Elephas maximus indicus: one gene and its partners. The protein of the gene in region 2 binds, or shares a complex with, the protein of the main gene of each other region. Links are inferred from orthologs where the notes say so. Each region holds a gene or a part of one and is shown on either strand. Other genes may lie near its edges. The genes, in order: SNRPE, CWC22, SCNM1 and SNW1.

What was found.
Region 1: CWC22 (region 2) and SNRPE share a complex: the UniProt entries of both Homo sapiens proteins name them as parts of the minor spliceosome. The link is inferred for Elephas maximus indicus from reciprocal best matches to the Homo sapiens genes CWC22 and SNRPE.
Region 3: CWC22 (region 2) and SCNM1 share a complex: the UniProt entries of both Homo sapiens proteins name them as parts of the minor spliceosome. The link is inferred for Elephas maximus indicus from reciprocal best matches to the Homo sapiens genes CWC22 and SCNM1.
Region 4: CWC22 (region 2) and SNW1 share a complex: the UniProt entries of both Homo sapiens proteins name them as parts of the minor spliceosome. The link is inferred for Elephas maximus indicus from reciprocal best matches to the Homo sapiens genes CWC22 and SNW1.

The regions. Positions count from the first base shown.
Region 1 is NC_064836.1:13,038,973-13,045,821, reverse strand, and holds the start of SNRPE (small nuclear ribonucleoprotein E), read right to left. Parts: upstream 3,014-6,849; 5' UTR 2,951-3,013; coding exon 2,897-2,950; intron 2,418-2,896; coding exon 2,391-2,417; intron 1,293-2,390; coding exon 1,230-1,292; intron 246-1,229; coding exon 167-245; intron 1-166. UniProt on the Homo sapiens protein: Plays a role in pre-mRNA splicing as a core component of the spliceosomal U1, U2, U4 and U5 small nuclear ribonucleoproteins (snRNPs), the building blocks of the spliceosome.
Region 2 is NC_064824.1:78,258,932-78,265,813, reverse strand, and holds the start of CWC22 (pre-mRNA-splicing factor CWC22 homolog), read left to right. Parts: upstream 1-3,871; 5' UTR 3,872-3,977; intron 3,978-6,882. UniProt on the Homo sapiens protein: Required for pre-mRNA splicing as component of the spliceosome. As a component of the minor spliceosome, involved in the splicing of U12-type introns in pre-mRNAs. Promotes exon-junction complex (EJC) assembly.
Region 3 is NC_064821.1:185,194,700-185,201,942, reverse strand, and holds the start of SCNM1 (sodium channel modifier 1), read right to left. Parts: upstream 3,005-7,243; 5' UTR 2,868-3,004; coding exon 2,817-2,867; intron 2,555-2,816; coding exon 2,484-2,554; intron 2,231-2,483; coding exon 2,142-2,230; intron 2,042-2,141; coding exon 1,947-2,041; intron 1,827-1,946; coding exon 1,738-1,826; intron 985-1,737; coding exon 790-984; intron 641-789; coding exon 541-640; 3' UTR 1-540. Other genes in the region: LYSMD1 (lysM and putative peptidoglycan-binding domain-containing protein 1), read left to right, coding at 3,831-4,010. UniProt on the Homo sapiens protein: As a component of the minor spliceosome, involved in the splicing of U12-type introns in pre-mRNAs. Plays a role in the regulation of primary cilia length and Hedgehog signaling.
Region 4 is NC_064828.1:90,536,240-90,543,496, forward strand, and holds the start of SNW1 (SNW domain-containing protein 1), read right to left. Parts: upstream 3,017-7,257; 5' UTR 2,957-3,016; coding exon 2,943-2,956; intron 1-2,942. UniProt on the Homo sapiens protein: Involved in pre-mRNA splicing as component of the spliceosome. As a component of the minor spliceosome, involved in the splicing of U12-type introns in pre-mRNAs.

The DNA of each region.
Region 1 (6,849 bases), on a different chromosome or scaffold from region 2:
TGGAATGGGGTAAGTGGGAGAGGATGATTTCGAAAGAGTACACTACTCCCCCAAACAATAACTTCTCAAATGCAAACTAAATTTAAGAATGAACTGAGCTGCAGGTCACTAATTTTGCAACTGAATAAACCTTTCTAGGATTCTGTAAGGCCATCTATATTCTTACCCAGTTGTTTTCTTGACTTTGTTTTAGAATGAATCTCTTCTGCATCATCTAACACAAGGTTCATATACTCATCAAAACCCTAGAAAATAAGCCACAGGACCATCATCGAGTTAGATCACATTCAAACCATTCAAAAATGAGTGTATCTATCTAGATACAGAATGCCAATGAACTTCAGAAATTCGTCCCTCTACTGATCTTTCATCTAAAGTAAGGCATATGTAAGCACCACCTTCACCCTAAGTCTCTTTTTAAGTAACAAAGAAAGCCAGAAGGTATTCTAAATTACTACTCAAACCTCTTGGACTTAGGATTTCATTAGCTATGCCAAGGAGCCACTCTTGCTCTCTTTCACAACCTGCCTGATAGAGTATGTGTGTATGTCTATGATTATCTTCTGCCAATGCTCTCCCCCTGTGTCCCCACAATATGCTATTACCACTAACCACATTTGTTTCCCGACCGGTAAATCGGGCAGGGGAGATTACCGATGAAATCTAAGATGTCTAAACGGAATTGCCATGTCTAAATGGAATACCAGAGTGCTCTGACGTAATACTTTCAGCCATGCTTCCATTAATCTCCCCTTCTAAATTTATGTTTTATTTTTTCTGAGGAAGCCCTGGTGGGGCACCAGTTAAGCGCTCAGCTGCCAACCAAAAGGTTGGGAGTTTAAACCCACCAGCCACTCTGCAGAAGAAAGATATGACAATCCACTTCTGTAAGGATTACAGCCTTGGAAAACCTATGGGGCAGATCTACTCTGTCCTTTAGGGTTGCTATGAGTTGGAATCAACTCGATGGCAACTGGTTTATCTCTTTTGTCCCCTTCCGCAATGCCAATATTGTTGTTTAAGTAATCCTAAAAGCTTAATTTTCCTGTTCTTTTTTGAATTACCCAACCCCTAACAACTAGAACAATGACAAGGCTAACCAGGGGGCCCTGAAAAACTTTCCTTGGGTTGAATCTTCAATTTTCCATATATTGCTCTGCCTAGCCACTTTCCGTTAAGTCTTTTTCTGGGAACAAACTGCTCTGAGATAAAATATCCTGGGTACTCACTATGATACAGCCCTCTATCCGCATATTCACTTGCTCATACAGCCACACCTGAATCCGGGATCTCTGAAATAATCATAAAAAAAGAAATGTTAGAATAAGTAAATACAATCTAATCACTTTGGTTAAACAACAGAGATGAACTATGGCTCCTAAAAAACTATCCGAAAAATATAAGTCAAGAATTTTAACCAGCAAGTCTATACCTAAGAGTCAAGATAGGTTACTTGCCAAGAAACCTTTTCATTTATTAAATGTTATACTGTGATTGTCTGGGCTAACAAATTGGCTGTGATCTCAGGACTCAATCATATTTCTCATTACTTATAATCCCAATCCACTGAGATTAAAAATTGGTGACAGTATAGCACAAAGCAGTAAATTCCGACGATCAAGATTAAGGGCATATGTTGTATCTGATAAAGCAAAATCCAGCTCCAAAGCAAGGCTTCTTCTAGCTTCTCAGCCCTCCGTGTCACACACATAACCACCAGAGGAGGATCACCAATTCCGGTGTTTACAATTTACGGGGCTTGAAATTACTCTGTTTTTCAACTGTGTTACTTATCACACACTAAAACTTGTCAGAGCAACAGAAACATTTTCTTTCAGAGATAATTTTAACATCTGACCTGTCAACTGAAAGTATTGCTAAAAATCCCCCCAAAGGAAAGCAGGCTGAATCTACTTCTTCACTCCACATTTTTAAACGTCTTTTCTATATGTAAGTTTTCCCATAGGCATTAAGCACACATCTCACGACATGGTTTAAGTTAACTGGGTATTTCTTTTAAGCCATGTTTGACCTTCTGGCAACCCTAAGTGGAGGAGATCAGAACGTTCCCATATTCTGGTCATAATCACTACAACAAAAGCACCAAATACTATCAACACGTCTGCCAACGAACAAACCCTGAAACTCATAATTTTGGTTTTGGAAAGAAATGACACAATTCTTTGCACGCTTGGAGTTGACAGCTGTAAATAACTACTTTCTTATATTAAGGCTTCTCTGTACCCTTTCCTGTCAATTATCCCTCCAGCCCCTCCTCTGATTTCATTTATTTTTAACATAGAACACAGCGACCCAGTAGACTGACACATACAGCTTAGAAAACCCAACTTTTACTTAAAAAATCATTATGAAACAAGTAACTTACGTACATTTTGCAAATATCTGAAGATAAGGTTCTGCATCACAGTAGTTAAGGAACTGGTCGATCTCAACCATCGCACTTTTTTTTTTTTTTTTGGTTTGTTTTCTGAACGTGAGGTCTGCTGCCTACACAAGTAACAGTGCCCAACAAATGGCACTCAACCGAAGTCTCCTAAAAACCCGGAAGGAATCCCCCCCACTCCCTTATCCGTCAGGAGTTTCCATCGCCCCGACAACCTCCCTCAAACCGGTAATTCTGCGTTCACTCAGTACCCAGCGATGTCGTCCCTCCGCTCAGCCTCGACATCCTACATCTCCCACCCCCGGGGTCGGCCTATCCTCACCTCCCACCCAGCACCAGTCCAACTACCCGCGCTTTCTCCCGGTCTCGATCACCCCGGAGGCTCATGGGATGTAACCCGCACTCCTCGCCTTCAGGCCGGGTCTCTGCCCGCTCCTTCGTCCTCCGTTTCCTAGCCCGAATCTCCTAGTCCTGACATCTCAAGCAGGATACGATGGGCTGCACCATCACCTTCTGCACTTTCTGGCCCTGGCCACGGTAAGCCATGGTGGAAGCTCACAAAGACCACACTAAGCCGCACGCCGACGCAGAAAGCGACTTCCGGAATTAGGAACCGGAAACGGAAATGTATTGAGGCCGCGCAGCGACCTGACGGCTACTGGGTGGTGCCTCTCTAGCCGCAGAGTGGCTTTCTCTGTGATCTGTAGCATCCCGGGGAGGCCGAACTGAGGGCGCTGCACTCGGTAGGATCGGAACCTGATCCGATCCTACAGCGCCACCTGGAGGGAGACGGGAGAAAGCCCCGAGGGACTTCGGTCGTGCGGTGGAAGCGGGGGAAAGCGGTAGAAACACAGGCACCAGGTCGTTTCCGTTTTCTGATTTCCGCTTTTAGAGCCGTAGTCGTCCTATTGCGTGTCTCTGTCTGTAAAATGGGTTAAATTAGTCCTTTTCCTGAGGCCTAGCTTCCTGGAATTTAGGCTCGACGGCAGCGTTGTGGGGCGAGCGCGGGGAGAGCGGCAGGAAGCCCGAGCAAACAGCCCCAGTCTGTGGTTTGCCCTAGTGACGGATTCAACTCCTCTCGTCAGCTCCGTGGGGGAGTTTTGTGAGGTGGCAACAACGTGGTGATTTAGCGTGAAGGCTCTGAAATCCGATGCTGGGCTCAAATCCAGCTCACTTAATAGTTACGTGACCGAAATGTGCAAAATGGAGATAAAATTAATAGTACCTTCCTTACGGGTTTGTGGTGAGAATTCAGTGGTGTAATACAGTGCGCACACACACACACGTTCAGGCTGGAGTCAGTGTTAGATGTGACACACCGTTTCGCTGGTAACGACCTAGTGAGTGGGGGAGCTGAAATGCGCAAGTATGCCACACCCCAAAGCTCATCCAGTGTTTCCGTTATGTCGTGGTGGCTTGTGGCCTGGCAGAAATTTCATTCAATTGGAACACTCATTTTTTAAATGAGGAAACTGAAGCTCAGAGTTGAAGGGACTTGCCTAAGGGACATTAACGGAAAGTGGCAGAATCAGAACTTACCTAACTGAGGTCTTTTGTTGAATGAGGATAAAACCAATTTCTACCTCTTCAAAAGTGTTGAATCAGGGGACATAGAAGTGATTTTTTAACTATAAAGAGCTAGAAAGGTCATGGGACAGTTATTTCTCTTAACCTCATTCCTACCCCATGCTCTGAACGGAGTTAATTGGACAAAGATTTGGGTAAAGATTTGCTGAATTCAAAGACAGCCGGGATAGAACACAAAACCCCCCAAAACCAAACCCATTGCCGTCAAGTCAATCCCTACTTGTAGGGACCCTATATGGATAGAACACAAGAGTAGTAGTATTAACACCTACCTATTCAGTAGTAGTGTAATACCTGTCTCAAATGCACAGATGCTTAGCTACTTGTTTTAGCATTTTCCTGTTACTGGACTTTTGGGTGTTGATCCCTATAACCACTCATGTAACTGGATTATGTAACTCATTAAGAGTGTTGTGTTGTTTCCTTTTTCTTTTTTTGTAATTGTCTTTTTTACATTTAAGTCTTTGCTGCTCCACCTGAATTTATCCTAGTATCCTTGTATATCCTAGAGGTGATACAACTTTATATTTTCCTAACAGCTATCAGTTTTCCATCACCGTTACAAAAAAAAAAAAACCTCATCTTTCCCCCTATTATTTTAAAATGCCACATTTATAATATATCAAGTGTGTGTGTTTGTGTGTGTGTATCTGGGACTTCTACTTTGTTCAATTGATCCTTGTGTCTATGGAACCAATATCATAGTTGTAAGTATTGTAGCTTTATAAATATGTTTTCTTCTATAGAACTAGAAATAGGTAGCATTTTCCAAGCTATTCTTGTTTAGTTACTTTCATATACTCTTCAGAATCAGTTTTCAAAACCCTTTGGGGATTTTTTTTTTTTTTTTGAGATTTCATTAAACTTTAGAATAACTAAATTTTTTTTAATTCAAGTACACGATGTCTTTTCATTTGTCCAAGTATTCCTTTGAATCCTACAGAAGTTTTTTGTTTTCTTCATATAAAACTTGTCCAATTCTTAAATTTAATCCTAGACTCTTCATCTCTCTTATTTAAAAATTGAGTCTTTTCCTCAATTGTATGCTCTAACCATTTGTTAAAAGACAAATCAACTACATAAAAATTATAAAGTTTTACAAGACTAAAAAGGCATGATGATAAGCAAAGTCAGAAGAATTGGGGAAAATATGTTATTTGCAACAAATCAGACAAATGGCTAATTTCGCTAACACATAAAGAGCTCCTGAAAATAAAATCTAAAATGTTAAATGCTGTTTTGGCTCTCTAGTGCTGTGTATGAAAATTTTCCAAAACTTATTGACTTAAAACAGCAACCATTTTATTATAATTTATGATTTTGCGAGTCAGGAATTTAGGCCGAGCTCAGTTGGGTAATTCTTCAGGAGACATATCTAAGGCCTTGGTGGGTATCTTTGGAAGGCTGGCATTGGCTGGGTCCCTTTCCCTCTCTATGTAGTCTTGGGGCCTCTCCACATGGTCTCTCTGGCAGGGTAGTATGATTTCTTAATCAGTTCATTAACAAAATAAAATGGTCTTCAAACTTATGAACAGATACCCAACTTCAGTTATTATAAGAGAAATGCAGACTAAACTACAGTGAAATATCATTTTTTCCCCATTAGATGGCAAAGTTAAAAAAAAGTGGTATGAACTCAGCAATTCCAATTTCAAAGAACTGAAAGCAGGGACTCAAACTGATACTTACACACCAGTGTTCACTGCAGCATCATTCACAGTAGCCAAAAGGTGGAAACAACCTGAAAGTCCATCAGTGGATAAATAAATGTGATACATACAGTGGAAATTATTCAGTCATAAAGAGAAATGAAGTTCTGATACATGCTACAGCATGGATGAACCTTGAAAGCATTGTGCTGAGTGAAATGTCAGGCACAAAAGAATATTGTATGATTCCACTTCTATGAACTATCTAGATGTGATGGTTAAGACTGAGTGTCACCTTGGCTGGGCCATGATTCTCAGTGTTTTTGGCAGTCGTATTATGTTGTGATCACTTTCCTGTTGAGATTTGGTATGTGATCACCCCCATGATGGGATCTGCTGCTGTAAGTAGCCAATCAGTTGAAAGGGAGTTTCCTTGGGTGTGTGGCCTGCATTAAATATAAGCGGACATTCTGGTAAGACTTGAGGGCTTTTCATTTGTGCTGGATCCTGCAGCTCCTGTTTGTCTGACTTCTGGCTCTCGGGACTTGAGCTAGTAGCTTACCTGCGGTCTTGCCTGCTAATCTTGCGACTCATTGATCTTCGCAGCCTGTGAGCAATAGCCCTGTTCTCTGACCTGCCTATCTTGGGTTTGCCAGCCCCTGCAGCTACATGAATCAGGAGAAGCCTCTATCCTGACACACGGAATTGGGACACTCCAGTCTCTACTACCATGTGAGCCATCTCCTTGGTATAATCTCTTTATATATGTGTGTGTGTGTGTATATATATATATACATACATACATACATATATATATATAGGCTTTACTGGTTTTGCTTTTGTAGAGAACCCATCCTAAGACACTAGAAGAGGCAAATACGTAGAAGTAAATTTATATTAGTGGCTACCAAGGGCTGGAGAGAGGGGGTGGTGGGGTGTTGTTACTTAAGGATGAGAAACCATTTATATTCTCCTGAAACACAGATTTCTGGATCCGTGGAGTTGGGGTGACTGACCCAGGCCATTTGCAGTTAGGTGTCCTTTTGAACCTTTAGCCTTGAAGAAACTGGTTCCTAAGTGTCACATTTGAGTCAAACAATGGTCTAAAAAAAAAAACCTCTAAATAAGCTAATAAGGCCATTTTGCCTTGGGCATTGTGCTCTTTTGAAGAATTAAGTCAGTTTCAGAAAACAGACTCCAAAGGACAGA
Region 2 (6,882 bases):
TGCAACGGGGATATCACCCCATCTTCCTTGAGCAGGTTCCAGCTAGAGCCCAGTTCTATGCCAGCACCCCTAGCCAGCAGGAAGAAGCTACAGAAGATGAGACCTTCGGCCCTAAACACCTTTTAAGATAGAGAGGCAACTGAAGCCTCTGCCGAGATTTCCGCTGCTCCACCATGGTTCCCCCCGTCACAGCCCGCCAAGCCACGGCTTCTAACTGTGGTTTGGCCTGACCACACCAACCTAACCGCAGTTTGAATTTGGTGCCAGAATCCAGCGCATGCGTGAACCAGGATTTTGGCCCATGCACAGGACCTGAAGAGCAGCATCCTCAACCTGTCCTTGGACCTGAGCATCACCAACATGATTCACCATTTGGACCTCCAAATGTGGACATGGGAGGACTAAGGGTGGAAAGTTCCGGGCAGCAAACCCAACCCCCAGATGCCACTGGAAATACAAAGCTCCTCAACTGCCCCCCCACCCCAGATGGGGAGTGCATGGTCTTTCGACTGCTAGGTCCCATATTGCTCCTTGTTTGTGCAAACAATAAACTGCCACTTTCCGTTTCCCTTGCAACTAGTGGTGTGGTGTCTGTCTTATTTCAATTGGCTAATAGGACAGGACAAGAACCCATATCACATAAATTCTGAGGGCCCCAAGCACAATTCATCATAAGATGGAAGTCTCACATTTGGGATGAAGCACAAAGAACACCAGAGTGCACAAGAGACCTACATGAGCAGGTAGCACAGACCTCCATGTCACCCGTTACACTGACATCCCTCCCTCAGTTCATATTGATAGCCATATGAGAGGGAGTGGAGCTAAAACTATCAGAGGAAAGAAGAAAAAAAGGCCAAGCTAAGTTTATGGATGGATTGGCTCACCACATGGTTGAAAGCTGAAAATAGACAGCAACCACATCACAGCCTCATTCAGGACAGCCTTGAAGACAGTGGAGAGGGACAATCTTCTGAGCAATACTGCAGTAGAAAATCAAAAACCAAACCCATTACAAAACCAAAGGCCAAACTCATTGCCACTGAGTCAATTCCAACTCACAGCGACCCTACAGGACAGAGTAAAACTGTCCCCACGGGCTTTCCAAGGAGCAGCTGGTAGATCTGAACTGCTGTCCTTTTGGTTAGCAGCCGTACGTCTTAACCACTGTGCCACCACTATGGTATAAGGACCTAGTCATTTAATCCCTTAGTAGTCCCTCCGTTTCAGAAACTTTGGCAGCATAGATGTTAAGAGCTACCACTGCTAACCAAACAGTTGGCAGTTCAAATCTACCAGGTGCTCACTGGAAACTCTATGGGGCAGTTCTATTCTGTCCTGTAGGGTCACTATGAGTAGGAATCAACTCAACAGCAATGAGTTCTTGGTAGTTCCCCTTTGGAGCTACCCCTGCCCAATCCTGCTTCTTCCCTTTTCTTTTAAAATTCCTAACTCTATCTCAGTATCTTCTTCTTGGAGGACCGAAATGACAAACCTACTTTTTTCTGGCTCCATTCAACTCTTGTAGGCTCAATCCTAACTTTCTTATTTCCACTGATAATTGCAGTGGTGTTCATTATATTTCTTTTAGATATGTTTACCAGATTCATCTCCTGTGCCACGTATTGGTACAAATGAAACATATTCCCTTAAAATACCTTAGAACACCAAAACACAACTTTAGCTATGGTCAACTCTCTTCATATGAATAATAATACCCGTTACTGTCAAGTCGATTCCAACTCACAGTGACCCTACAGGACAGAGCAGAAATGCCCCACAGGGTTTCCAAGGAGCACCTGGTGAATTCCAACTGCAGACCTTTTGGTTAGCAGCCATAGCTCTTAGCCACTAAGCCACCAGGGTTTCCATCGATAATAACAGATAGCAGTTATTACATACTAGGCACTTGACTACTAACCTAAAGGTTGGTGGTTCGAGCCCACGAAGCAGTTGCATGGAAGAAAGGCTTGGCAATCTGCTTCCATAAAAAGTTACAGTCATAATGATTACCCATTCCTGTTGAGTCAATTTCAATTCACAACACCCCTATAGGGCAGAAAACGGCCCCATCAGGTTTCCAAGGCTGTAAATCTTTATGGAAGCAGAAGACCAGAAAGCCCTATGGAGCAGTTCTACTCTGTAACACATGAGGTCTCCATGAGCCAGAATGGACTCCAGTGCAGCTTTTTTTTTCTCTTTTTTAAGGGGATGGGTATTGGTATTATTCCTACTTAACAGATCAGGACGCTGGGGCACAGAGTGTGAAGTAACTTGTCTAAGGTCACCCAGCTAGGAAGCCATAATTCAAATGTAAATAGTCTGGCTCCAGCTTCTTTATTATTAACCACTGTACTCTTCTTTCTCTTGAAAAGGGTTGGTAGCAGAAGCACCCTAAAAATGTAATAAATAAGTATCTGGAGAAACCAGGCCTGGTTTATATAAGGTTGGTGAATATGCTATAGTTGTTTTAAACCAAAACCCAAACCCATTGCCCTTGAGTGGATTCTGACTCATAGCAGCCCTATGGGACAGAGTAGAACTGCCCCCATAGGGTTTCGAAGGCTGTAAATCTTTACAGAAGGAGAGTGCCATATTTTTCTCCGTGAAACAGCGAGTGGGTACGAACAGCAGCCCAGTGCTTAACCACTGTGCCACCAGGGCTCCTCATAGTTGTTTTAGGGAAGGATATATCCCCAAACAGTTAGAAGTAGTTGAACTTTTTTGTTGCTATTGGAAAGTAAGGCATAATGAAATTAATTGATGCTGGATCCCTGAACTCTGTACAGACTACCATTCAAACTCTGCCAGATAATCTCCTTACCTCATGATATCTTGACCGTGAAAAACTGGTATTATGATCTTTAAGGTTGCATGTCAACTTGGCTGGGCCACGATTCTGTGGTTTGGCAGTTATGATGTAGTTTGGCAGTTGTATAATGATGTAATCACTTCCATGACAAGATCTGCTATGAGTAGCCAATCAACTGAAAGGGAGTTTCCTTGGGGTTGTGGCCTGCATCCAATATATTTGGACTTTTTGGCAAAGCTCCTTGGCTTCTGCTCTGCTCTGGATCCTGCATTCAGCTCGTCAGCATCTGACCTCCGGTCCCTGGGACTTGGGCCAGCAGCCTGACATCTGACCTGTGGATCTTGGGTTCATCAGCCCCTGCAGCTAAGTGAGTCAGGAGAAGCCTCCAGTTTGACACCTGACCCATGGACTTGGGACTTACCAGCCTCTACAACCCTGGGAGCCATTTCCTTGAAACCTGGATCTCTCTATCCTTCACTGGTTTTGCTTCTCTAGAGAACCCAGCCTAAGATAGAGACATCATTTTCTTTTCAGGATTAGCTTCTCTTCATTACTTCACACTATTTATGGTTCTGTATTTTCTCCTTCACTTAGGCTTGAAATCTTGGTACTTTACAGGCACTTTTTAACATTTGGTAAAGCTTAATACGCTCTCGTGAAACTACTGTAAAGAGTCTGAATAAGCTGTCTGCTCTTAAGATTTTCACGGAAAACTGACTTAAGTATTACAGTCATGCCAACTGCAGAAAATAGTTTTAGATGAAAGTAAACCTCGCTAAACCCTAACCCTTACCACGTTTCCGGTGCGTTGACTGGATGTACTCGGGGGCGCTTACCTACAATGACTACAATTCCCATCCTACACTGCGGCCTCCACAGCCTAAAACTACAATTACGCTAGCGTCGTTTCCGCTCGTACGGGCAGTGGGTGTTTGATTTAGTCGTTTGTATCAACTTCTTTTGTCGCCGTCTTAGGGGTAGCAAGTGGATGCACAGAGTTCTTTGAATCTAGTACTACGAAATAGTGTTAAAATAAATCAATACTTTTATAACATATCACAGCTAATTTTTAATGTATTTCACGCTCCGCCTTCATTGTGCCGCCAGAGCCCAGGAACGGGAAGTGACGTGTATCCGGTGTAATGGCGGCGCGGTGGAGCTGTAGGTAATTACCGCAAACTCCGTAGACTCCCTGTAGGCAGGGATCCGACGTAGGTGTGGCAGTTTTCCTGAACGGGTGGGAAGTGAAAGGGGCCCAGGAGTGGGTGCGCGCCCGTTGGCCCAGCCGTGGGCTGTAAACGGGTGCGCGTTGCTCCCTGCCCGCCGTGCGCTGGCCCGCGAGGTGGGGGTGTGAGCGCGGGTCGGGTCGAGGAGTCGGAGCGGGTTAGGAAGGGGCGGTGGTGTGCTCGCTCCCCGCCTGCATGGATGAACTTAGTTTCCGCCTGAGAGTTTTGGGCTGACTCCTATCTCTTTGTTAGTGAAATCCAGCAGTAGCGATGGTCTTTTTCTTCGCGTACAGTGCGGTTCGGGCGCGGGGTACTTAGAGCCTGAAGAGTTAAGTTGGGCTTCCCAGGCACCTTTCATAGTGTCCCCGTCCTAGAGTCATGGGGGTGGGATTAGGAAACTGTAGTTGATTGAAATAGTGGAAGTTGCACTCTTTCACTCATTTCCTTCTTAATATTCCTGTGACTACCTATTTTACTAGTTTCTTTTTTCTTCGTTTGCCTCGTAAATACTGATTGTTCTCAGTGTTTAGGCCGGGGGGGGCTCTTTCCTTATCATGTGTATTCTTTCACTGTCATCTTCATCTTTTGATCACTGGAACTACATCCAGTAGGGTGATCATAACTTCCAAATTTGAGTCTCAGGTGTCCACCTGCCTTCTGAGCTCCGGATCCAACAGTACATTCTTGCGTACAATGGTATTTTAGTAGTTTCATTAACTGCGGTAACTGCTTTATTTATTTTCACCTAACCCTCAAAGCAGTTCTTCAAGGTAAGTGGAAAAGGAAACATACTGAGAAAGGCTGTTCCAAAGGCAAGCATTGAAGTGATTGAAAGCGTGATAAGAATTTGCTTTGCATATTCGGGTGTCCACAGACTAGACATATGAGGTAGATACGCAAACAAGCTTGGTTTTCAGAAAACATGTTAACCTACCTTTTACTTTTCTGTGTTTAGATTTGTCTTGGTTTAGTATTGTCTCTGAGCTCAGGAATTAGCTTCAGTTAACAGAAAAGCAACTTTAGAATTGGTGTTTAATAGTGTGGGTTTTGACCATGGTAAAGTTACTGCACACTGTGTCTGTAGGAGGAGGTAACTCCCTTGCGTTGAGTTGATTAATGGACTAGTGAGCCAAAGGTTCCAGTCTTGGCCTGACATTTATTGGGTCTATCACCTGGGTGGGGTAAGTCACCTTATGTCTCTCATCTTAGCTTCTTTACCTGAAAAACTTAGATTATAATATCTACCTCACCGAGTTGTTTTGAAGATGAAGGAAAATAATGCACATTAGATATTAAGCACAGTGCCTGGTATATAGTGTTACCCATTGCTGTCGAGTGGATTCCGACTCATAGCAACCCTATAGCACAGGGTAGAACTGCCCCTTAGGGTTTCCAAGGCTGTAAATCTTTTCGGACTCATAGAGTCGGAATCGACTCGATGGCACTGGGTATTTTTTTAAATCTTTTCGGAAGGGCTCTTTCTCCCGAGGACTGGCTGGTGGATTTGAACCACCAAACTTTTGGTTAGCAGCTAAGCCTTTAACCACTATGCCACCAGGACTCTATTATATAGTGTTAGCCCTTATTATATTAAGGCTCTCTGGTGGCACAGTGGTCAAAATTATCTACTGTTAATGGGAGGATCAGTCTTTGGAAACCACCAGCCGGCTCCAGGGTAGAATGTGGCAGTCTGCTTTCATAGAGATTATAGCCTTGGAAACCCCATTGGGGTCACTGTGAGTCGGAATCGATCCGACGGCAGTGGAATTGGTTTTTATTATTTTATTATTGCTGTTGCTGCTACTACTACTGTTACATGTTGCCCTTCTACTATTAAGTGTACAGGCGCCTTTCGTAACTAATCTGGCTGGGGCTCTGGGACTTTGTGGAAGAAAGGCCTGGTGATCTACTCCCCCAAAATCTGGCATTGAAAACCCTGTAGAGCACAGTTCTACTGCGACACACACGGGGTCGCCACGAGTCGGAGTTGACTCAACAGCAACTGGTTACTGGTTTTACTGGGACTCTGCTTATACTTGCTTGCTTATCAGAGGCCGAGAGCCTTGATCTAATACCCTGGCTCAGTGGTTCTAAAAGTGGTCTCCTGAACCAGCAGCATCAGTACTTGTTAGCAATGCATATTTTGGGGCCCACCCCAGTCCTGTTGAATCAGAAACTGGAGGAATGGGAGCCTATCAGTCTGATTATTAATAAACCATCTATTTGATTCTCATGCCTGTTTGAGAACCACATCCCCTAGAGACCTGTTTTTTTTTTTTTTAATTGTGCTTTAGATGAAGATCTACAGAACAAATTAGTTTCTCATTAAACAACTAATACACATATTGTTCTGTGACACCAGTTGCCAACCCCGCAATGCGTCAACTCTGTCCCTTCTCGACCTTGAGTTTCCTGTTTACGTTCATCCAGCTTTCCTGTCCCCTCTTGCCTTCTCATCCTTGCTGCTGGCCTGGTGTGCCCATTTAACCCCTATACATGGTTGAGCTACGTGTATTTTTGTTTGTTTTATGGGCCTAAATCTTTGGCCAAAGGGTGACCCTTAGGAGTGACTTTAGTAGTGAGTTAAAAAGGTGGCTGAGGGCCATACTCTTGGGGCCTAGAGATCTATTTTTGTCTGTTGTTTGTGTTTTGTTTCATTTTCCAGAATCAGCTGCTACTCCCCTTCCTCACTTTGGATAGTTTAGCTCCAACCACTTCTGTAGTTAGACACTCCCTAGACTATAGGGTCCCTGTGAGTTGGAATCAACTCGACGACAAGGAGTTTGGTTTTTTTAGGCTACTTAGCTGTCTTTCCTAAACCAGCTTTCCTAACTGTCAGCTTTC
Region 3 (7,243 bases), on a different chromosome or scaffold from region 2:
TAGGCCCCAAGGGTTACTGCCAGTTCACCAGGGGATTATTTATACTCTGGGGATCAGCAGGCAGGGAGGTTCAGGTTACCAGGGGAAGGTGGGGGAGCTCCCTCCCTTGGTGTTCCCTATAACTCTGCCAGTGCCTTTGGTCTATTCTACTTTCATAGGGTACCTAGCCTCAGCTCTGTTTCGAGATGTGGCTGGGTCCCCCCCAAGGGCCTACCCAGAGCCTTCATGCCATCTGAAGGGGGAAAGGACTTTCAGTGGAGGTGGGGAAGGAAGTAGACAACATGAAGGGCAAAGACCTGCTTCTGACAGACTTATTAATAGGGCACTGAGCTGCATGCAGCTGACGCTTGGCATGACGTTGGTAGAAGGTGGGGAGGGGTTAGAATTATGGGGTGCTGTGTACCTTGTAAGGAAGGAGTGTCTAACCTGAGAACGAACAGATTTCATATCCTGAGATGGGACAATGAACCAGACTTGAGGAAAGTTAGGCTCCCAGCACCTGTTGTAGTTTATTTGTGAACTGAATGGGGAAAGAGGGTATCAGTCCAAGGGGAGATCAGGGGGTTCCTCCTCATCAGAGTCAAACTCAACATTTTCATCTTTCACCCATCGACCCTGTCCATCTGGGATCCATCCAGAGCTGGAAACATCAGAGTAAACAGAACTGGTCAGAATGAGGATAGGAGGTTTATTAAGAAGTTAGTAGGGATGAGAAAAAAACTCAGTAGGTTTGAAAAAAAGGCCAGAGAGAAAAGAGCAAATGCGAGGGAAGTGATTCGGCATACTTACCTTCGAAGAGTGAGGTAACGATCCAGGGCTTGTCTTCTCGTGGGGCTCATGGGTACAGGGGCTGGGACAGTTGCTGATTTCTTGGCCTGTGGACCTGTTTCAGGCTCAGATTCCCTGCTGATCTTCCGACTTTGGAGTTCAGCCTCTGCAGGTGGCAAACGGGAATGGACGACGGAGGGACCAGGGGCTTCTGGTCTGGGTGGAGAAGGATTGAAGTCTGTAAAAGTGGTAAAGGAAAGGGCCAGCTCTCCTGTGACTCCCAACCCCTTAATGCAGCGTTTTCTAAACCATGTTCCTCAAGCTATTAATGAGAATTGTGCATAAAAAGGATTTTGAAGTCAAATGAATTTGGGAAAGCCTAGGTTAAACAAAATTTTTAAAGGTTTTTTTTTTAATTTCAAGACTTTGTAGAGCCCTTAAATATGCTAATATCACTATGCTTAAAGTAGAATTACAAAGCGCCATATCCCAAACTTTATTTGAAATCACGAAAAAATTTTTTTTTCCTGGAATACCAATTAGCATCTTCAGAACATAGTATTCCTCAGGATACGATTGGGAAGACAATAATTTTAGAGCCATCTATCTCCCACTGTCCCTCCCTACTGATTCCCATACTAGTAGTTCTTTTCCACCCACTGTCTCCATCTTTTTATGTCCCTAACCAATGTGAAAGACCTTTCACTGTTATTCCCCTATTCTTAATTCCTCCTAATACAGCAACGTGCCGTGAGGAAAGAATAGCCTTCTAAACAAATGGTGCTGGGACAACTGGGTAATCCTCATGTAAAAGAATGAAGTTGGACACCCCCCGCCACCTCATACTGTGTACAAAAATTAACTCAAGATGGATCAGGGACAAATTTAAGAGCTAATACAGTAATGCTATCCTTTCCCTATTTCCCATGCTCAAGTCATATTTTTCTCTGGCTTTCCCATCCCACAGACCTGTACTTCCGGCGGCAGCAACTGTTATAGTGGGGAGCTCTGTGTAGAGCACTCTGAGTGATAAATCGAGTCTGGGCCAGCAGAGGAGCCTGGTATGGGGATAGGGGAAAAGAATCAGAGCCATGAGAGCTAGAGAGAAGCCAAAGCCCTTCAAGCCTGGGGTGTGCAGCAGGGTCTTGTCTGGGACACACCTTTCCCGCTCTGATTACCTCAGCTTTGTTCTCCTCCCTCAGTTCATTCTGCTGTCTTGGATTCTGCTCCATTCCCTTTCCTGGCTGCTTCTTGCCATAAAAACGCTGCAAGCCTGAGGAGTAGGGGGGAGGGAATTAAAAGCAAAGCGCTAAGACTGGTCTGCAGAGGTTTCAAGGGTTTACACTCTATCCCATGCACTCTTTTAAACTTACTGGACAGATGTTTCTTCCCTGCACGATGGGCAGTCAGCATGGCCAGGGTGTCCAATACAGGCCGGTGAGGGCAGATGGCACAAGCAAAGCTGAGGAGGGGTAAAGAAGACAGTTGGTACAGGGGTAGGAGTGGGAGGTCTGCTGTAGGTTCCATCCTGTCCTAGTAGTCCTTTCCAAAGCCCTACTCCCAGTTCTAACCTCCACCGCCCACATCCCTGTCTCTTCCAGTCTCTCACTCTCTGCCAAAGAATTTTAGATACTCCAGAACTCCCCCATAATAACAAAAGCTTATTGAGCCTCCAACCGCAGAACTCTCAGGCTTGAATCCTTCCTCGCCCTCACCGTCCATCCCGTAGCATCAGCGCCTCATCCTCTGGGATATAACTGGCCAGCAAGTCCCCGACTCTTCGTTTCTGGAGGGAGTAAGGGAACAAATCCGAACGGAATAAGCGGGACAGGAGGCAGAGATGGAAGGGAAAAATGATAGAGACGAGGCATCAAAGGGAATAAGGTCCATTGGAAACAAGCGATCATAGGGCGAAGAAGAGGTCTAGGAGCCTGACTCCCTCTCGCCCCTCATCCCTCCGAGCTGTTTCCAGAGCAACGAAACAAAGCTCTTTCAGAGTTTTCAGAGGGTGGCTGAAGCTGCTCCAGACCCTCTACTTTCGCGCTTACTTTGAGTACATTGAGTTGACTCCAATCGTCTCCTTCTCTCTTGAAAGACATCGCGACTGTCAGCCTCAGAAGCAACAAATTCGCGGTACCAAATTTTTCACTCCCTTCAGGCCACCGTAGCGGTAGAGGGGTGTCTCCTCGCCCTCTGCCTGTCTTTTCCGGTTGGCCTCGTTACTTCCGGGGTGTGCTTCCCCGCATGCATTGCGCGATTCTGAAAACACTGTTCTTGCGCAAAGGGGACTGCTTTTCCTATGGTGCCCTGCGACCCCGCCGGCGCGAAGCCTCTTGGGAAATGAAGTCTTTTCTCAAAGAACTTGTCGCCCGGCTGGAAGCAGGCCCTTGAATCTCGGCAGATTCGAAGCATTTGAAGAGACAAGAACCTATATGTGGAGCTGATGCTTGAACCCGAATTTAAGACCGATCTGATGCGGAGTAGGTCCTTAAGGATCGATGAGTGGATAGTGGACTACAAACTCTCCAACCACCCGCTCTTCATCTGCGACGTCAGCTCACCTAGGGTGGGCCCGGCTCGTTCCAGACCCTAGGGGATCAACCCCGGGACGGGGCGGAGCTGGGGCGAAGGGGGGTCGGGAGCCCGGGCTGCCCGGCTGTGGAGCAAACTGAGGAAAGGGTGTTGAGGAAGGTACCTAGAGTTCCAAGGTCAAAGGTCAGTGTAGCGAGGAGTTGTGGGGTTCCAAAGGGAGACTTTGGTAGAGACTGAATACCCAGGGGACCAGATTTGTGGAAAAGGGACTTGGAGGGAGAAAAAGCGAGGGCAGATAATATCTGTCTAGAATATCCTAGGTCCCTAGGGGAGGGAGGGGAGGAGTGACGGGGGCGGGTGGAGGTTCGGGGAGTGAAGAGGAGCTGAGGTCGGGGCGGGGGGAAGGGAAGATTTAGGAGAGAAGGGGAAGGATCTCCCTGGATATCCATTCCCAGACGCCGGCCCGTCACTGTCCATCACTTAGCCGGTCCTCCCTCAGTCGCAACCGGAGCTGTCAGCAGGGTGAGGAGATGGCTTCTCCCTCTAGACAGCCCCCCCTCGGGGGATCAGGACTGCTTCAAGGGAGCCGGGCTCGTTCTTATGGAAGCCTGGTGCAGTCCGTCTGCTCCCCAGTGAGGGAAAGACGCCTGGAGCATAAACTGGAACCTGGAGACACTCTGGCTGGACTAGCACTCAAATACGGGGTGACGGTGAGTCTTCCAAGACTAGGGTGCTGACAACCAGTTAGGAGAGAATGTCCTGAATGCAGTGACCCCTCTAAGTAACTTTTCCAGGATTTTTCCTAATTGGGGCTGTGTCTGTTCTGGCTTTAATCTGTTTGTTTGTTTTCCCTTGTCAGTGTTGCTCTCTCTGGTTGGGGCAAATCCTGCCCCACTACCTTAAAGGAGAGGAGCAGCTACTACTTTATTGAAGCCTACTCTATGCCAGATAATATACTAGCTGCTTTACATGTATCATCCCATTTGATCCTCACATCCCCTCTCAAGTATACAATTATTGTTCCCTTCTTGCAGATAAAGAAACAGAAACATGGATTAATCTGTTAACCAGTTTTACCAAAATGAAATAGCTAATGAGTGTCTGAGTTGGAATTCAAACATCTGTCAGACTCTAAAGACTGTACTACTATTAACTACATGGAAACTTTATAATTGATAATGATAAAACATTTACAGCAAATAATGGAGAGCTGGTTTTTAGTTCTAAGTTCCTGGTGTGCCTATCTCTTCTTGTCCTTTCCTTTCTCAGTGCTTTGCCTTCTTGCCAGTAAGGTGGCTTTTCTTGGTAAGGAACAGGTTCTCTTTACAGCAAGTATGTGTAGGGTGTATTTGATAGGTGTAACAATATATTGCGTTAAAGTTGGCGAGTGTTTTTCCATATCCTGTTCATTCAATTTCACACAAACAAATGTTGAATTTAGCCAACATTTGCATGCTTGCTCTGTTTAAAGCAGTATGGTAACCATCTTGGACATAGAAACAAATAAAATGTGTGGCTGCTGCCTTCATGTAATTTACAGTCTGGTGAGAAATTTCCTGGGACAAAAATAATGATAGTAGGTGGCAGAATGTGTTGAATTTGTAGTGATATTAACAAAGGATGGGAAGTTAGAAATGGAGATTAATTTTTACTTGGAAGGGACAGAGGTGAACATCAGTGCAGGTTCTGAGGCAGCCGTCACTGTGGTCCTTGGAAGACTTAGAAACTTCTTCTGTGCTTCTCTCTACGATTTGTGGAATACTGTTATTTGCATAGGTTTTTGTCTTCTCAACAGCCTATACTCTCCTTAAAGGAACCGTGGTGACGCAATGGTTAAGTGCTGAGCTGCTAACCAAATGTCTTCGGTTAGAACATACCTGTGGCTCCCCGGGGAAAAAAGACCTGGCGATCGGCTCCCATAAAGATTACAGCCTAGGAAACCATATGGGGCAGTTCCACTCTGTCCTATAGGGTCTCGATGAGTTGGAATCAGCTTGATGGCACACAACAACAACATCCTTTCTTTAAGGATAGAAACTATTTCCTGTCAATAATTATATTCTTAAAGTCTGGTATAGTCCCCACCACATAGCAACTTAATAGATGTTTTTCGAATGAATGAGTATGGCTAAGATTTCCACACGTAGAGACTGGAAGTATAGGAAAGAGTACATTTCAAGTACAGGGAATGGCCTAAGCAAAAGAAGTGGGTGTGAAAGTACAGGGCAGCCCCTGGGGCTCAGCAGGGTCTCAGAAGCTTTGCAAACAAGGAAACTGGGCTACCAGTGAATCAACAAGTACTTTCTGAGGCTTTTTTTTTTTTTTTTTTTGCTCTGTACAGACAAGCTCTGTCGTCTAGTGAAGAAGAGTCCTAGGTTCTAATCCCATGCTGCTGCTTACTGAGTAACTTTAAGTCACTTCCCCTCTCTGGAACCTCAGTTTCCTCACCATTTGTAAAATGAGGAAAATGTATTAAATAATGATAATTATCAGAGTTATTATCTACTTATCATTTAAGGAACACTTGCTATGTGGAAAGCTTTGTATATGTGTTACCTCATATTATCGTCATAAGACTCAATGAGGTAGGTGTACCTATTCTCATTTAAAGATGAAGAAATTGAGACCTAGGGAGATAACTTTACATAGATTATACAACTAGTAAAATTGATAGAGCTAGGATTCAGACCAGGTTTTCTCATTCTAAAACCTTCACTTTTAATTGCTAACTGGTGGCACAGTGGTTAACAGCTCAGCTGCTAACCAAAAGGTCGATGGTTCAGCCACTCCCCTTTAAGAGAAAGATCAGGCAGTCTGTTTCCGTACAGATTACAGCCTTGGAAGCACTATGGGGGAGTTCTACTCTGTCGTATAGGGTCACTATGAGTTGGAATCGACTCGACAGCAATGGGTTTGGTTTTTTTAGTTCTATTATACTATCTAGATTCGAAGGGCCTTTCTAGCTGTAAAGACTGTGGCTCCATGGTCCTTTGACCTTGGTCACATTGCTTTTAAAAGTAGGATTATGTCTCCTCATATGGTGCTTCCAGGAATAATAAAAGAAACAGAAACTTCATATATTAACTCATAACATCTTGAAGCTGGAAGGGACCTAGGATATTATCCCAGCAAAATAAAATCAATAGCATAGAAGCACTTGGCAAAGCAAAAGTATAAAAGTAACAAGCCAATGTTAACTTTTTTTATTGTTCAGATTAATCTGATTTCATTTTTAAACATATTATAACAGTCTAAGAATTTAGTAGTCAAGTTGAGACCTAGGGACCTAGGTCTTGCCACAGAGTAGAAACATCTTTGATATTTGACCAATGTGGCTTTCCAAGCTGATGCCAATACAGGATGAATTTTTAGTAAAACTGGCAACCTGGCTCTCGTATAGTAAAATACTGACGCCCTATGTTTATGGTTCCTGTATTTTATTATTTATTCATAATGCATTAATGACCCCCATTAACATGAAACATTGTGGGTTGCTGAATAGTGCCTTGGGGATACAAGACAGCAAGTTGCCGTCTCTTTCCTTAAAGGACTCACAGGGTAGTAGGAAAGACAAACATGCAAAGAAGAGAATAACAGTGTAATAGAGTAGGTGTTATTTGGGCAATATCTACAGATGCTTTGGCAGCCCGGTGGGGGAAAGATGTGGCAGTCTGCTTCCGTAAAGGTTACAGCCTTGGAAGCCCTATGGGGCAGTTCTACTCTGTCCTATAGGATCGCTGTGAGTTGGAATCAACTCGAAGGCAGTGGGTTTTTGGGAGCCCTGATAAGGTAACACAAAGGGAGGGATGTAGATGAGTGCAAGCTTTCCAAGCCCAGAAAGAGCTAGTGGGGAGGCATTTCAGGCAGAAGGAATAGCATGGATAAAGACACAGAAGTGTGAAAGAGCATGGAACATTCAAAGAAAACAAAAAAGTTTGGAAGG
Region 4 (7,257 bases), on a different chromosome or scaffold from region 2:
TAGATCCCTTTATCTGTCTTTATTTTACTTAAATTGCACTATTGATTTGTTTACTCATATACAGTCTGAGTCCCTTACTAGAATGTAAGGCCTGTAAGAATGAGTTTACTTGATTCAATACTATAAAACCAACATTAGAATGGTGCCTAGCACATGGTAGAACTTCAAGAAATATTTACTAAGTATATGAATGAATAAATAAACAAATGGAGTCAAAAGTCTTAGGCTTCTTCCAAAGTCATTTTCAGTAAACCATATGTAAGTAATATACAATGATAAAGAGCTACAAAGACACCAAAATTATGTACTTCTGTTTCATTTCTTTTCACTTTTCTTTACCTTCTCTTGGAAGAAGCATTCACAGAAATGATCAAAAGGCAGGCAGCCTGCCAGAGAAGCAAAGGGCTTTGGCAATCCAGTAAACAGGTAACAGAGCCTGAATTATGGTCAGAATATACTCTAGCCTTCCAGAGGGTCTTCACTTTGTTCTTCCCTGAAAAGGAAGGCCTTTGCATAAAGTCGAACACTCCCATGGGGAGATGAGAGGCTGGTCTTCAGATGAAAAAACAAAACAAAACAAAAAACCCAAACCCACTGCCTAGGAGTCAATTCCGACTCACAGTAACCCCACGGGACAGAGCAGAACTCCTCCATCTGGTTTCCAAAGAGCCGCTTGTGGATTTAACTGCTGACCTTTTAGCAGTCAAATGCTTAACCACTGCACCACCACGGCTCTAAAGAACCTTCAGATAGCATAGATAAAATAGACTGCTAATTATATGTACAGCAGTAAGTCTACCAGATCTCAACTAGTGGCAATTTTGCCCCCCTGGGGTATCTGGCAATGTCTAGAGACATTTTTGATTGTCAAGATTTAGTGAGAGGGGGTGCCACTGATATCTGGTACATAGGGGCCAAGGATGCTGCTAGACATCCCACCATGCACAGGGGTCCCAAACAACAATGAATTATTCAGACCCAAATGCCAATAGTGCCACTATTGAGAAATCCAAGTTTACCCTTTTCCCTTTACTAAAGAAAGTATATTAAATGCAAGTAATGTTAATATACCCATAACTTCGAATACACTCAAATATAGAAAATTAAATCAGTTAGACTTTAAACCTTTAGTATTAGTAACATATCACTGGTGACATCAAGACTGACACATCAGTATGTCAAGACCTTGCTGTTAACATTCCCTGGTAGATCTTGGAGTTAATATAAATTAACACCTCACCTATAAACTTGAGACTATCTGTAAAAATCAAGTTAGCTAGGACTAATTCAACAAAAAGGAGCCCTAGTGGCGCAGTGGTTAAGCACTGGGCTGCTAAACAAAAAGTGGGCGGTTTGAACCCACCAGTGGCTCCCTAGGAGAAAAAACCTGGTGATCTGCTCCCATAAAGACTACAGCCTGGGAAATCCTACTGGACAGTTCTATGTCACATGGGGTCACTATAAGTTGGAATAGACTCAATAGCAGGCAACAACAATTCAACAAAATCAGAAAGCCATGTAGTCCCCAAGACCAGCCATTTAAACATTACATTGTGTCAACAAGCACACAATACCCATGACATCTCTGGTATTTTTCCTGTGCATCCATTTCCAATTCCACCTTTTCCCCAAACAAATCTTTCCCTCATAGCTCTACTAGCCTCTATCACAGTGCCTTGCACCTAGAAGGCACTTAACTGCCTGTAACATTTACTAAAGAAAACTCTCCAGTCCATAAAGCTCATTCCATCTAACTCTTTTCACTCTTATGGTTTGTGTTGCTCTTCAATCGTTCATATTTGTATGCATTGCTCCCCATTGTCTCTGAAGTCAGACAGTCAGATTTCCTTCTGCATACACCACAACTCCTAGGATGAGTCAGGGCACCCCATTTAAAAAACAACAACAAAAAAAAACAAAACCAACCAAACCAAACCCACTGCGCTCAAGTCGATTCCGACTCATAGCGACCCTATAGCAGTTCCCAAAAGAATCTTCTGAATAAAACATGTTTCGGATTCATAATTGTCATCTGCCAGGAAAAATATCTGAGGAGAATAAGGTGTGTTAAGAGAGCTCAAGTCGATATCCTAAAAGGATTACTTCTAAGGACCAAAAATTCTAAGAAATTCTAAGGTCCAAAATTACAATCCTCTTTGACACTCGACTTTCCTGTTGAATTCGCATGGCAAAGTTTTTCTACTTAAATGGGGCAGCATGGTCGCGCACTAGTAAGGGTTATGTAACTTCTTGGGATCTCCCACTTAGAGCATCTTTTTCTCAAAGGCGGGGACCCTTTACATATGGTTACCAAGGCAACCGCGAACAGCAAAAAATCGGAAGCGGTTCTATCTAGGGAAGAAATTCTAAGGTCCAAAGTTAAAGCCGGGCGCAGCGGCGCATATTAGTAAACAGCGGCCACTGCTGAGGCTAGTTCAAAATCTTTATCCACTTCCAGGCCTCTTTCTTAGGAGACCTTGTTTCGGGAAACGGAATGGACAGAAAGCCCTCGGCAGCAAGCGGACAGAAGTCCGCGTAGTCGCTTCCCGCCGGCTTCGCTCCGCCGAGACAAGCAAGCAACTGCCCACACTCCCCTCTCTTCTACCCAAGCCGCCGACTTGAGGTAGCGGTCTCCACGTCCCCCGCGATGCTGAAGCGAAACACACGTGCGACTCCTCGCATCTGGGCCGGAGAACTATTGGCCACTCCACGGCTCCGGCCTCGGGGAGGGGGCGACCCCAACCCGAGCAGACGCTCGGGAAAACCCACCCTCAGGCGAGGCCTAGTCGCCGCGGCGGCTGGCGGGAGGGCCTAGCCACGGCCTTGGTCTAAGTCGCTCTCTTCCCAAAGCCGGGTCCCCGCCCGGAGAGCGTGGACAGAGAAATGAAAAAGATGGGTCGTCTCAGACCCTTCCGTATCGAGGGCTCGAATCAACAACCCACCTGGTGAGCGCCATCTTCTTCCGCTTCTTCCAGCCCGAGCGACAGCAGCGCGGGGCGGACCTTCCCTGGCGAAGGGGCGGGGAAGGAAGGAGCGCGCAGTGCGCAGCCGCACCTGCCGAAAGGCCTTCTGGGCTTAGTAGTTATTTGATAGGGAGTACAGTTCGGGTCTCTATTTCGGGTCTCTTCTAACCAGCCTAAGCGGTCCTCCTTAGATGATCTCATTAGGAAGAGTAAAGACTTATCTGTACTCTATGATATCATAGGGCGTTCGCTAAGCGAAGTAACAAAGTTAGAGAAAGCTACCTTTTTAGCCACTTTTTCCCCCACTCAGTCCCATCACCGTCGTGTAACACGTTGCCATGGAATTGACTCTGACTCGCAGCGACCTATAGGACAGAGCAGATCTGCCCCATGGGGTTTCCTAGGCTGGGAAGGAGCCCTGGTGGCGCAGTGGTTAAGCTCTCGGCTGCTAATTGGAAGATGGGCGCTTGGCTGCTAACCGAAAGTTCGGCAGTTCGAACCCGCCAGCCGCTCAGAGGGAGAAAGATGTGGCAGTTGGCTTCTGTAAAGATTAGAGCTTTGGAAACCCTATGGAGCAGTTCTACTCTGTCCTATAGGGCCGCTGTCAGTCGGAATGGACTGAAAGGCAATGGGTGTGGTTTGGGAATCTATACAGAAGCAGATAGCCACATCTTTCTGCAGAGGAGCAGCTGGTGGCTTCCAACCTCTGACTTTTTGGTTAGTAGCCCAGCGCTTAACCACCGCTCCGCCAGGACTCCTGTTCCCCTAGATTAAAAAGAAAAAGAAAAGCCCGTTGCCATGCAGTCTATTCAGACTCATAGCGATGCTATACGACAGAGTAGAACTGCCCCTTAAAGTTTCCAAGGAGCGCCTGGTGGATTCAAACTGCCAACCTTTATAGTTAGCAGCCATAGCACTTAACCACTACACCACCAGGGTCCTCCCCTACTGTCCCAAATACAAAAACCTTCAGGTGATAACCACGTTAAATAAAAGGTAACAGGGTTTGAAACAATAGGATAGTCAGAGATTAGCGAATGGAGAGTTCTCGGACGTTCTGAAAACATTGACGTTCAAAACTTTTTCCTTTAAATGCTATCCCCTTCACAAAACCCTCTCCTGGGAAAGGCATTTTGTGATCTTCAGTAAATTACCTTTTGAAAACTCCTGATATACGTAGTATATATGTAGGTATGTTTTTTAGGTACACATAGTTTATGGATTCATAGTGAAATAATAGTATAAACGAAATCTGCTTCAAAATATTGGGAGGAGGAAAGAGTGTGGAGCATAGATGAAACAAGATTAGCCATGAATTTTGATCATTGTTGAAGCTGAGTGATGGGAAAGTGGATGTTTGTGATATTATTCTCTCTACTTTTATATACGTTTGAAATTTTCTGCACGCATACAGAAAAGTGCATACATTGTATGTGTACAGGCCTTTAGATTTTCCCAAACCACAGCAGTGTGAACAGCCCAAGAAGCTTCCCTCATCCTTTACACTCACCCTTCCTCCCAAGAATCCTCATAGTCTTTGATCTTCACGTTCTAGTGTGATAAGAGCATCTTGTACATTTTCTGCCCCAGATCTGGAGTTGGTTCTCTGTCATTTGCAATTGAAGGGAATTTACTAATGTGTTTTCTCTGTGCTCTGATAGTACTTGTGTTTCACCTATTTTTAACAAAGATCACATTCTATAGATTTTGATGGTTTACCTGACTGAGAGGAAGATTAAATCTCTCTTTGTCACCATTGTATCTCTATCATTGAGCCTGAGCAGTCTTGGGCAAGCCTTCACCCCTCACTGGATTTTGGTTTCCTCAGCTGTAAAAGGATAAACCAAACCAAAAAACCAAACCAAAACACCAAACCGGTTGCCATTGAGTCGATTCCAGTGCAAAAGATAGGGTGGGCTCAAATAATACCAGAGATCCTTCTGGTGTCAATATGATTCTAGATACTTTATTTCCTTAGTTTTTAAAACTTCTAAAGAGGTTTAAAATTTTCCCATTCCATGAACTATTGATACATTCAACAACTCGGATGAATTTCAAAGGCATCACTTTCACTGAGTGAAAAAAGCCAGTCTCAAAAGGTTTCTTATTGTACGATTCCATTTATGACATTTTGTGTTGGGGGGGAAGGAATTAGGAATTTTTAGGACTTATTTTTTTTTTATTTAAAATTTTTATTTATTTTGTTGTTGAGAATATACACAGCAAAACATACACCAATTCAAGTTTCTACATGTACCATTTAGTGACTTCGATTACATTGAGTTGTGCAACCATTATCACTCTCCATTTCCAAGTTGTCCCTCCCTTATTAACATAAATTCACTATCCCCTAAGATTCCCATCTAATCTTTCAAGTTGCTGTTGTCAATTTGATCCCTTGTAGATAGTTCTTAAAAGAGCATAAGGCTCAAGGCAGACATTTTTTAGATTTATGTCATTTTTGAAATGACAAAACTAGTGACAGAGAACAAATCCGTGGTTGCAAGGAATTAAGAGTAGGCGGTAGGCGTGATTATTACAAGGGAGTTTTTTTTTTTTTTTTTAGTTGACAGAACGGTTCTGTATCCTGATTGTGGTGGAGGTTACGGAACCTGTAAAACCAAAAAAACCAAACCCATTGCCATTGAGTTGATTCTGACTCATGGCAATACCATGTATTACAGCAGAGCAGAACTGCTCCGTAGGGTTTTCTTGGCTGTAATTTTTATGGAAGGAGATCACCACGCCTTTCTTCTATGGTACCACTGAGTGGATTTGAACTACCAACCTTTAGGTTAGTAGTCAAGCACAAACTGTCGTCATGGATTGAACTGTGTCCCCTCAAAATATGTGTCAAATTGTCTAGGCTGTCATTCCCCATATTGTGGTGTTGTCTTCTGTTTTGTGATCTGATGTAATTGTCCTATGTGTTGTAAACTCTAATCTCTGCCTGTGGTTAATGAGGTGAGATTAGGTTAAGTTACAGAGGATTAGGGTAGGATGTAATACCCTTACTCAGGTCACAGCCCTGATGTAAGGGGAGTTTCCCTGGGGGTGTGGCCCACATCACCTTTTATCTTAGAAAAGATAAAAGGAGAGAGCAGCAAGCAGAGAGAAAGAGAGACCCCAGGCCACCAAGAAAAAGGCACCAGGGCAGAGCATGTCCTTTGGACCCAGGGTCCCTGTGCTGAGAAACTCCTAGGCCAGGGAACAATTAATGACAAGGACCGTCCCCCAGAGACCACATACAGAGAAAGCCTTTTCCAGAAGCTGGGCCCTGAATCTGGTCTTCTTGCCTCCTAGGCTGTGAGAGAATAAATTTCTCTTTATTAAAGCCATCCATTTGTGGTATGTCTGTTACAGCAGCACTAGATAACTAAGACATCTACCCAGGGCTTCCTATGAATCTATACATGAGTTGAAATTCATAGAACTGTATGCCAAAAAAAATGAGTTTTACTATATGATAATTAAAAAAATAAAAATTTAACAATGCCTGGTCTAGCTCTTACTATCCTGCTGTTAGAAAAGTCTCCTTAGCCTCATTCAGCATCAGCAGCATTTTCTCTTTGGCACTGTTTCATGGCACTCTTTGGGTTCCTAGAGCCATAGGAAAGGTTACAGAAGATCAGTATTTTTAAGAAGAGTAGAGGGACAAATGACATACTAGTTTTCTATGCTACGTAACAAATTAACACAAACTTAGCGGTTTAAAACAACATCCATTTATTAGCTCACAGTTCTGTAGATTAGACGGCTTGCACATGGTGACTGGGTTCTCTGATCAGGGTATTACAAGGCTGAAATCAAGACGTCGGCCAGACTGAGTTCTTGTCCGACGTTCTAGAGAAGATCCATCTCCAAGCTCCTTCTTGTTGATTGCATAACTCAGTTCCTTGCAGTTGTAGGTTGGAGGTCCTTGCTTCCTTGTTGGCTGTCAGTGGGGGTGCACTGCCATAGCTTGCTTTTGTGTGGCCTTTCTAGCCATGGTCTTGTAACTCCCACCCAAGTGATTGGGTGAGACTGTGTGGTAGGGTGGGATTGGTGGAAACGAAGGGGATTGGTGGAAACCCTGGTGGCGTAGTGGTTAAGAGCTATGGCTGCTAACCAAAAAGGATGGTAGTTCGAATCTACCAGGCTGGCCTTGGAAACCCCTGGGGCAGTTCTACTCTGTAGTATAGGGTCACTATGAATAGGAATTGACTCCACAGCAAAGGTTTTTTGTTTTTAAAGGGAATTTGTCAGGCTAGCCATCCCACTTGGCTTGAAATGAGCCACCCCAGAGATGGTAAAG